Oryctolagus cuniculus: one gene and its partner. The main gene of each other region encodes a partner of the protein of the gene in region 2 in a complex. Links are inferred from orthologs where the notes say so. Each region holds a gene or a part of one and is shown on either strand. Other genes may lie near its edges.

Region 1 (3,819 bases), about 28 Mb from region 2:
GACTTCTGCTAGAAATGGAGTGTGGGATTTTCCCACATGGATGCTTTCTATGGTGTGGGGACGGCCAGAGCTGGCTTCTGCTCTCCTGATTGGGTCTTGTTTCCATCAGGTGGGAAGAGAACTGATATGGGTTTGGAAATACACTCCATAAATCAGCAAGTAAACCTCTGAGTGAGAGGGAAGAGGAGTGGTCTCAAGTGGGCCAGATCCTAAATGTTTCAGTCAGTAAGGGAGGAAAAGGCAGATTTTGCTCAGAAGAGCCTACACTTTCGCACAGCCACAGCGGTAGTGAGGAAGTGAAATGGCATCAACTGGCGCTCAGAAGGCGTGCAGTTCTTTGACGCTTCGTTCTCTCATGTCTTTCTTTTCTGAAAATTAGACTCTTTTCTATATTCTTGATGCTGGCTTGAAAACACGACCCGCTGAGTTTTTCTATAAAGATAATGGCTTTCTGGTTTTGAAGATCTGTTTGCTTTCGGACTGAAAAACAGAGATACTACAGCTTAGATTTGGCAGTTATTATTGCCATTGTAGCACAAATTTCTATCATTTAAAAGTATATTGGGGCCTGTGCTGTGGCCTAGCGGGCACAGCCGCCACCTGCAGTGCTGGCATCCCATATAGGCACCAGTTTGAGTCTTGGCTGCTCCCCTTCTGATCCAGCTCTCTGCTATGGCCTGGGAAAGCAGTAGAGGATGGCCCAAGTCCTTGGGCCCCTGCAACCATGTGGGAAACCAGGAAGAAGCTCCTGGCTCTTGGCTTCGGATTGGTGCAGCTCCGGCCATTGCGGCCATATGGGGAGAGGACCAGCAGATAGAAGACCTCTCTCTCTCTCTCTCTCTTTCTCTTTCTCTCTCTGCCTCTGCCTCTCTGTAATTCTGCCTTTCAAATAAATAAATTTTAAAAAGTATATTCACATACACATAATAATTGCCTGAAAGGTTATACTTAAATATATATTTCTACATACCAGAATGATTATACATCATGTTATATGTAATATGAGAGTGCCTCAGAAAGTTAATGGAAAATGTGTATTATGAAAAAACTAAAAATTTGTTGCCCCTTAAATTCTTTTAATTTAGCATTTCTATGAACTTTTTGAGCTTTGCTTGTGTATTCTTAAACTACAGTGACTTTACCTGTACAGAGACTATTAAAACATAAATATTCCTATTTTTAAGTTTTTCAAATTTCTCCAGAAATTCCAGGTAGCTTTTCATTTCATGCTTTCCATTGGCTGCTTTCCACTTGTCCTCACCCATCTTTCTTACACCCCTAGCCTGGTGTCTGTCACTTGGCAGGTGCTTAGTAAATATCTCTGCAGTGAATGAAGGCCTTCAAAGTCCACTGCGTAATTCTGTGCTCCTTGACCTTGGCAGCATTACCTGTTTAGTGATCTAGCTTTTTATTTTTCCAAAGTAATAGGCATTTAAGAATTGGGGCATTCAGCGGCTTGATCCAGAGAGGTCTAGAAGGTAATGGAGTTAAGATTACAGGCATTTCTTCAAGGTTTGGGGGGATGGCTAGGGAGAAGACACTGCCATCTTTTACTTACTTTTAGGGAAATTATAATAGAAATATAAATTCAGTTGATTGAGATTTTACCCCAGGTAAATGTTAGAGTTAGGAAAACAACAACAACAAAGCAAGATTCAGTAACCTCAGCCTAAACATGAAGTCACTCAATTGATAAACAAATGTTTCCTGAGCACCTGCTATGCCCAGGAAACTGCAGACAGAGCGAAGGACGCCAAGCCCCTGCCTGATATAGAGTGAGACGTGGTATAGCCTACCTCCACAGAGCAGTCCTTTGTGTCTCACGCAGGAGAAATTGTCACACTGACAGAACGGCCCGTAAATGTTTCCATAGGGAGACAAGTGGCAGACGCACTGCCCGCAGTAGCAGTCACCCCTGCCGCTGCACGAGGGCTGCCCGGGGGCCTCTCTGCAGGAGTCCGTGCTCAGCATGTCCTCGCCACACTCGCAGCGAGGACCCATGTGGCCTGGGTGGCAGGCACACACTCCACACTGGAAGGAGCCGTTGCCATCGTGGCATTTGGAGCTGTTTACTTCCACTTCTTGCTGACAGTCACAGCTGCACTGGGGACTGATGAGGATTTCCAGGGTGTCTCCCAGGCCCACGGGCTTTATGACAATGTGCTGGCTTCTCTTCTCGCAGTTGGCTACGCTCACGGTCACGTTGAAGGAAGCCTGTGAGAGAACATAGGAACGATCTGCTTCCTCCAGCCACCAGCAGACAAGAGGTGAAACCAGGCTGCAAGCTTTGCATCCATCAGCTTTGTAAAAGAGATGCTCCTTAGATCTTTTAAAGCCTTGAAAGAATACAAAGCTTCAGTGAGCTCTGCCAAGTTCTCACCCCCTGGCCTATTTATTTCAGGTCTTTGGGCTCTCTACTTACTGTGTCTCCGACCTTCATGTGCGAGCATTTCTTTTGGTGTGGGAAGAGGGTGCTGTTACAGATGGCTGTGAATGACAAGTTGAGTCCTTCCGTGTCTCCTAATACTTCCAGTTCCACTTCTGACCGAAGTTCCTTTAGTTAAGGCACAGAGAGTTAGATGAAGTCACAACCATAACATACAGCCAGAAGAAGGAACTGTGAATCATCTTCATTAAACTAAAAATGAATAAAATTAAATAGGGTCTGAAATAAATTCATCATGTCATTACTCAAGCAAGAAAGTGAGCAATCAATATATTTCATATTTTATCAAATCGAAGATGCCATCAATTATAAGATTTGCTATTATTTTATGACAATTAAATTATGACAGATACCTGGAGACAGTTCTGCACAATATATGAAATATACCCATCAGTCTAAAACAATTTAGCTTTGAAAATTATTTTATCCATTTTGAGGGATTTGGCAAATTCTCCTCCCCTGAGTTGCACGGCTTGGCATATAAAAGGCAGTTTTTTTTTTTTTTTTTTTTTTGCTTATATCTCAGTGATAAATAAAACATCTTACTTTACTTGTAAGTATTACCATTTCTTGGGTCCCATAACACAGCTGGCTGTTGCTTTGGAAGGACTGCAGAATGGCAGTAATTCCTTCAACAGTGAATATCTCCTCACTGGTATCAAATTAACACCCTGCTGCTCTGTGTCGGGACATTTCTGCATACATCACTTTTCATTTGAATATAGAATTGTGGCAGACACTTTTTGAATCCATTAAACTTAACACGTGTTCAACAAATGGAAGTGACGACAATCACATTGTCAAAGAAAGCTCCATCATGCCTGCCACCTGGCAGACGGTGCTTGTGAGGCACTGCTAACTCCAAGCTGGATCCTAGTTCTACAGATGTCGAAATGTGGGTGGAAGCTGTTGGAATGTATTTAGTACCTTTTGTTCATTTAGTTTAGAGTCAGTTCTGGGGAAATAATAAGACCGGATTTCTTCCCTCAGGAAAAAAAAAAAAAAAAAAGCTGATCATCTTACTTTTTACTCTCCTTTGTTCACTTACAAAATAAAAGTATATTTTAGGGGGACACAACCAAATTAATATAAAAAATAAGTTAGAATAATATTAAGTTATATTTCAATTCATTCAAAAAGTTTTGAAAATGCTGTTGGCATGGTTAAACCACATTCAGCTTTAACTTTTCCTTAAGTATGATCTAGCCCACCCCATAGCAAAAGGACCCTGACGTCCTCCAAATTCTATTCACACTAAAATCATCAGGAATTATGACAGGTGTGTTGGAGACCATGGAGCAGTGGGTTCAAAGCTTAAAGAGACAAATGCAGTATGACCAGGAAGTCTGTAGATGACAGCAATAATGAGACCA
Region 2 (3,819 bases):
GTAGGCAGGCATACAGACTAAAATTGATTAGGTTTGTGAGCTGGAAGACCACACCTTCACCATGCCCCTGTGAGACCTCTTCCCCCTACCTGGCCACACCTGGGTGCCCACCAGCCAATCAGGTTAATTAACCACTCCCCTTTGGAAGTGGGTTAAAAGCTGGGATGCGCGGGTGTGTCCATCCCTTCTCTTCTTCCTTTGCCTCTTGCCAGGAGGGGGCTCACTGTAGCCCTGCGCCTCCAGGGTGCGTGGCCTTTGGGCCACGTGCTCCAGGCTTCCTGGCCCAGATGCTCCTCTACGTGGCTGGTTCCTGGTGCTTGGTATGAACCCAGATTTACCTCTCTCTCTTACTAAAGCCCTCACTTTCCTATGCACCTTTCTCACTAAATAAAAGCCTAAAACATACCATGCTGCCTCATTTATCTGTGCCGGTATTTAGAATTCTTCTGCAAATATTAGGCAAGAACCCTCTAGGGCTTATTAATATTGGGGGTTTATTAATAAACACATGGTGAAATAGTATGGCACCCCAAATTCTGGTAGCATATGTGGCACCCCAGATAGCACTACTGGGGAATTTTAAGGGGCCACATTTTTGTATAAATTTTAGGGGGTCATGTCTGATTTCAATAGGGGAATAGTTTTGAATACAATTTAAAGGACAAGGATGAAAAATTGTGAATTCCTTTCAAAAGAAAACATCTGGGGCCAGCTATGGCATAGCAGGTAAAGCTGCTGCCTGCAACACCGGCATCCCATATAGGCGCCAGTTGGACTCCTCCACTTCCAGTCCAGCTCCCTGCTAATGTGCCTGGGAAAGCAGCGGAAAATGTCCCAGCTGCTTGGATACTTGCATCCACATGGGAAACCCAAAAGAAGTTCCTGGCTCCTTGCTTGGGTTCAGCCCAGATCCAGACATCTGTGGAGGGAATTTGGGGATGGAAAACCTCAATCTCTCTCTCTCTCTCTACCTCTGCCTTTCAAATAAAAAATAAAACTTTAAAAAACTAAAACTAAAAAATAAAACATCTATAGTTTTTTCTTGAGACTTTTCTGTGTAAATATTATTTACTTGCAGCAATTGCTGGACAGAAAGAACACATTTCATTATTCAAGAAATTGAGCTGAAATTCAAATAGTGACATTTAGCTTAAAAACTTTCAAATAATTCAGAGTAATCCTATAATACACAATACCGGATATACTCACCTGTATAAAACAGCTCGATCTACACCAAAAGCTCCTACGATTAAGTCTGAAGAGAGAGTGAAAACACATGTTAATAATGGTTTTTAAATTTCTACACCATGCTATAAAACTTTCAATGCACACAAAAGAATTTAAGCAGATTCTCAGTCAAGAGATTGTAAGGCAGCAACAACAAAAACAACATCTTCTACAACATTTTCTTCTAACGTCTCATTACAGACTTCAAGACAGTGAACAAAAGCTCCGCACATGTGCTTCACGTTGTACACTCGCAGGAAACAGAGCTGCCTTTCCTTCACATCACCTTCAGTGATTTGAACAATGCTTTGAGCATGGTTGAGGTTTCATAATACTTGAAATATTGAATTGAAATGGCTTATAAAACAAATCAGGAGAATAATAACATTATTTACTTTAGGAATGAAAACTCTCAGAGCTGTAAGTATTTGTAGAAAATCACCTGGATATCCATTTTTGTCTATATCTGTGGCTCCTTTCATTGAATAGCCAAAGCTTGGTGGCATACTCCGAGCAGCCCACTGGCCTTCAAGGACTTGAGACGGTACTGCATTCAAGCCTGCTGCCCTTCCATTGAAGATATACACAACTCCTTTCTTATCTTCACCCCCATAGGGAGCAGCAATTGCAATATCTATGGGGTGAAAGGAAGAGGAGGAAGAGAAGAAGCAGCATGGAAAGGAGAGGATGAGAAGGGAGGAGGAGGGGGGAAGAAGGCAAGAGTGGTGACACTGAAGTCTCAGTACTCAGTCATTTATATGGGGATCGGAATATTCACAGAACCTTTTCTCTTGATCAGTATTGGTTCAAAGTTCAGTAATTCAAAAAGCAACAATATAATTCAAGGAAGTTCAAGCAAAACTGTAGAAATGACAATAACTTAGAGCCATATATTCTGGGTCTGACCTTATATACATCATTTACTTCTGAACCTTAAGTGCCCCATACTTAAACTTGGGGGTGTGGAAGGTAGGAGGAGAACATGTCAAAAGATTCATCTAAAGTTCATTCTAGGTAGCAAAATTCTATTTTGTTGATTCATGCATCACTTTAATTTTTTCTGAACAGAAATCCATTTGGATCACAAATTTGAAAGGACTTCATTTTCATCTTGTTCAACTCAAACAAATAAAATTATAAATTCTTAAAATAAACAAAACACCAATGGTCAATAGGACCTTTTTTGACTCTAAAATATACTATAAATAGGTCCACTTTTCTCTGCTGCTGTGGCCACCCTGTGTCTATAACTGTGAAGTGACCTTCTAAGTGACCTCTCACTTCAAGGCTTGCCTCTATGACTCATTCTCTTCAAACTATGCACTCTTCCCAACACCACTGGCCTTTTTCATTGTTGTTTCCTCATGCTCAAATCCTACATCAGACATCATCCTGCCAGTGTCCCCTGGTCCCTGCCCCTCTCCCCCTCCACTCTGTCATACACTCTATATAGCTGCTCTCCATCATGTTACCTTGCCTTAAAAAACCTGCAGTCTTTATCATTATCTGGGTTTCCACATTACTTGATTACTTATTCTGTGGTTCTGTATCTTTGAAGTTTACTTAATGTGTAGCTTTTCTTTTAGTAAGAATCCTGATATATTGTTGATTACACAAACAAACCAACAGTGCATCTCTCTACTACATGATCTATAGAAAGGTTTTAGTATTATCTTTTAGAAAGTATTTTGGTACTTTGTAATTTGTATTTCACATTTCCAAAGTTCTATACTGAAAGCTAACTTTGCTTTTTAAAGATGTCTACAGCTATTGAAATAAGACGATCATCAAATAGTGGGCTTATATGTTTGTGTGTCCCCATGAAGGGAAACAGAAACTCACTTAGAACATTTTGGACAGTCACAACAAAGTTATGACTTTCAAAATAGTATTGCTAAAGCATACCTTTGAGGTACGCATAAGATATACATTAGTCAGCATTGCCTTGCAATGTGCCTTGGGAGCATTTTTTTATATTTGTAGCCAAATGAACAGTAGAGGGCACTGTTGCTCAGCAGGACACAGAGACACAGAAAGTCACCAGCACTGGGCTCTGTGAGAATGAAAAAACTGCCTTTCAGAAATCATCCGTTCTGAATCTCTCTTGAGAATCAATTTTTGAAAATTTTGCTCTGATTTTTAAGGTAAAAAAAATGCAACCTATCTATAAACTTGGTGTACTGCTCACTGACATTCAATCCATCTTCCAGAAGAGATTTGCTCATGCGAATTTCAACAGATGGGGTTATGGACTTTCCCAGATGGGCTCAGAAATCAAGGACTTAACTTCTTTTGCTTAACTTCTATCTTACCATTGAAGCCGTCCTGGTCCAAATCTCCCAGTGGAGCTATGGCACTGCCAAACCGTGCAAAGATCTCAAACCCATTCAGCTTCGTAACCTGGAAGTCTCCGGAGGCTCTCTGCAGACACACGGAGACCTGTCCCACCTCTTGGAGTTTGCCATCGGAGCCTCGATCCATGAAGAGAGGTGCTCCAATAAACACGTCTGCATAACTGAGAGACAGAACTCCTCACCAAAGCAAGATCAAATTCCATCTGTTATTAATACACATTTTCTTTCTTATTAAAAC

The links.
Region 1: the proteins of ITGAV (region 2) and ITGB6 are in contact, whole or in part, in a crystal structure (PDB 9CZA), measured with the Homo sapiens proteins. The link is inferred for Oryctolagus cuniculus from reciprocal best matches to the Homo sapiens genes ITGAV and ITGB6. Residues at the interface, in NP_002201.2 of Homo sapiens: Tyr48, Phe51, Lys72, Trp123, Leu141, His143, Gln150, Glu151, Arg152, Pro154, Asp178, Ala179, Phe184, Gln186, Phe189, Pro204, Tyr208, Trp209, Asp249, Tyr251, Tyr254, Pro274, Arg275, Arg278, Thr279, Met302, Ala303, Tyr305, Phe308, Pro328; in NP_000879.2 of Homo sapiens: Ser183, Pro184, Phe185, Lys187, Thr188, Thr189, Pro190, Ile236, Asp237, Thr238, Pro239, Asp273, Ser274, His275, Phe276, Gly277, Met278, Asp279, Lys281, Leu282, Ala283, Gly284, Val286, Pro288, Glu308, Thr311, Ile312, Gly313, Gln314, Ile316.

What each region holds. Positions count from the first base shown.
Region 1 is NC_091434.1:81,824,495-81,828,313, reverse strand, and holds part of ITGB6 (integrin beta-6), read right to left. Parts: intron 2,555-3,819; coding exon 2,423-2,554; intron 2,215-2,422; coding exon 1,797-2,214; intron 1-1,796. UniProt on the Homo sapiens protein: Integrin alpha-V:beta-6 (ITGAV:ITGB6) is a receptor for fibronectin and cytotactin. It recognizes the sequence R-G-D in its ligands. Internalization of integrin alpha-V/beta-6 via clathrin-mediated endocytosis promotes carcinoma cell invasion.
Region 2 is NC_091434.1:53,695,377-53,699,195, forward strand, and holds part of ITGAV (integrin alpha-V), read right to left. Parts: intron 3,743-3,819; coding exon 3,540-3,742; intron 1,862-3,539; coding exon 1,670-1,861; intron 1,256-1,669; coding exon 1,210-1,255; intron 1-1,209.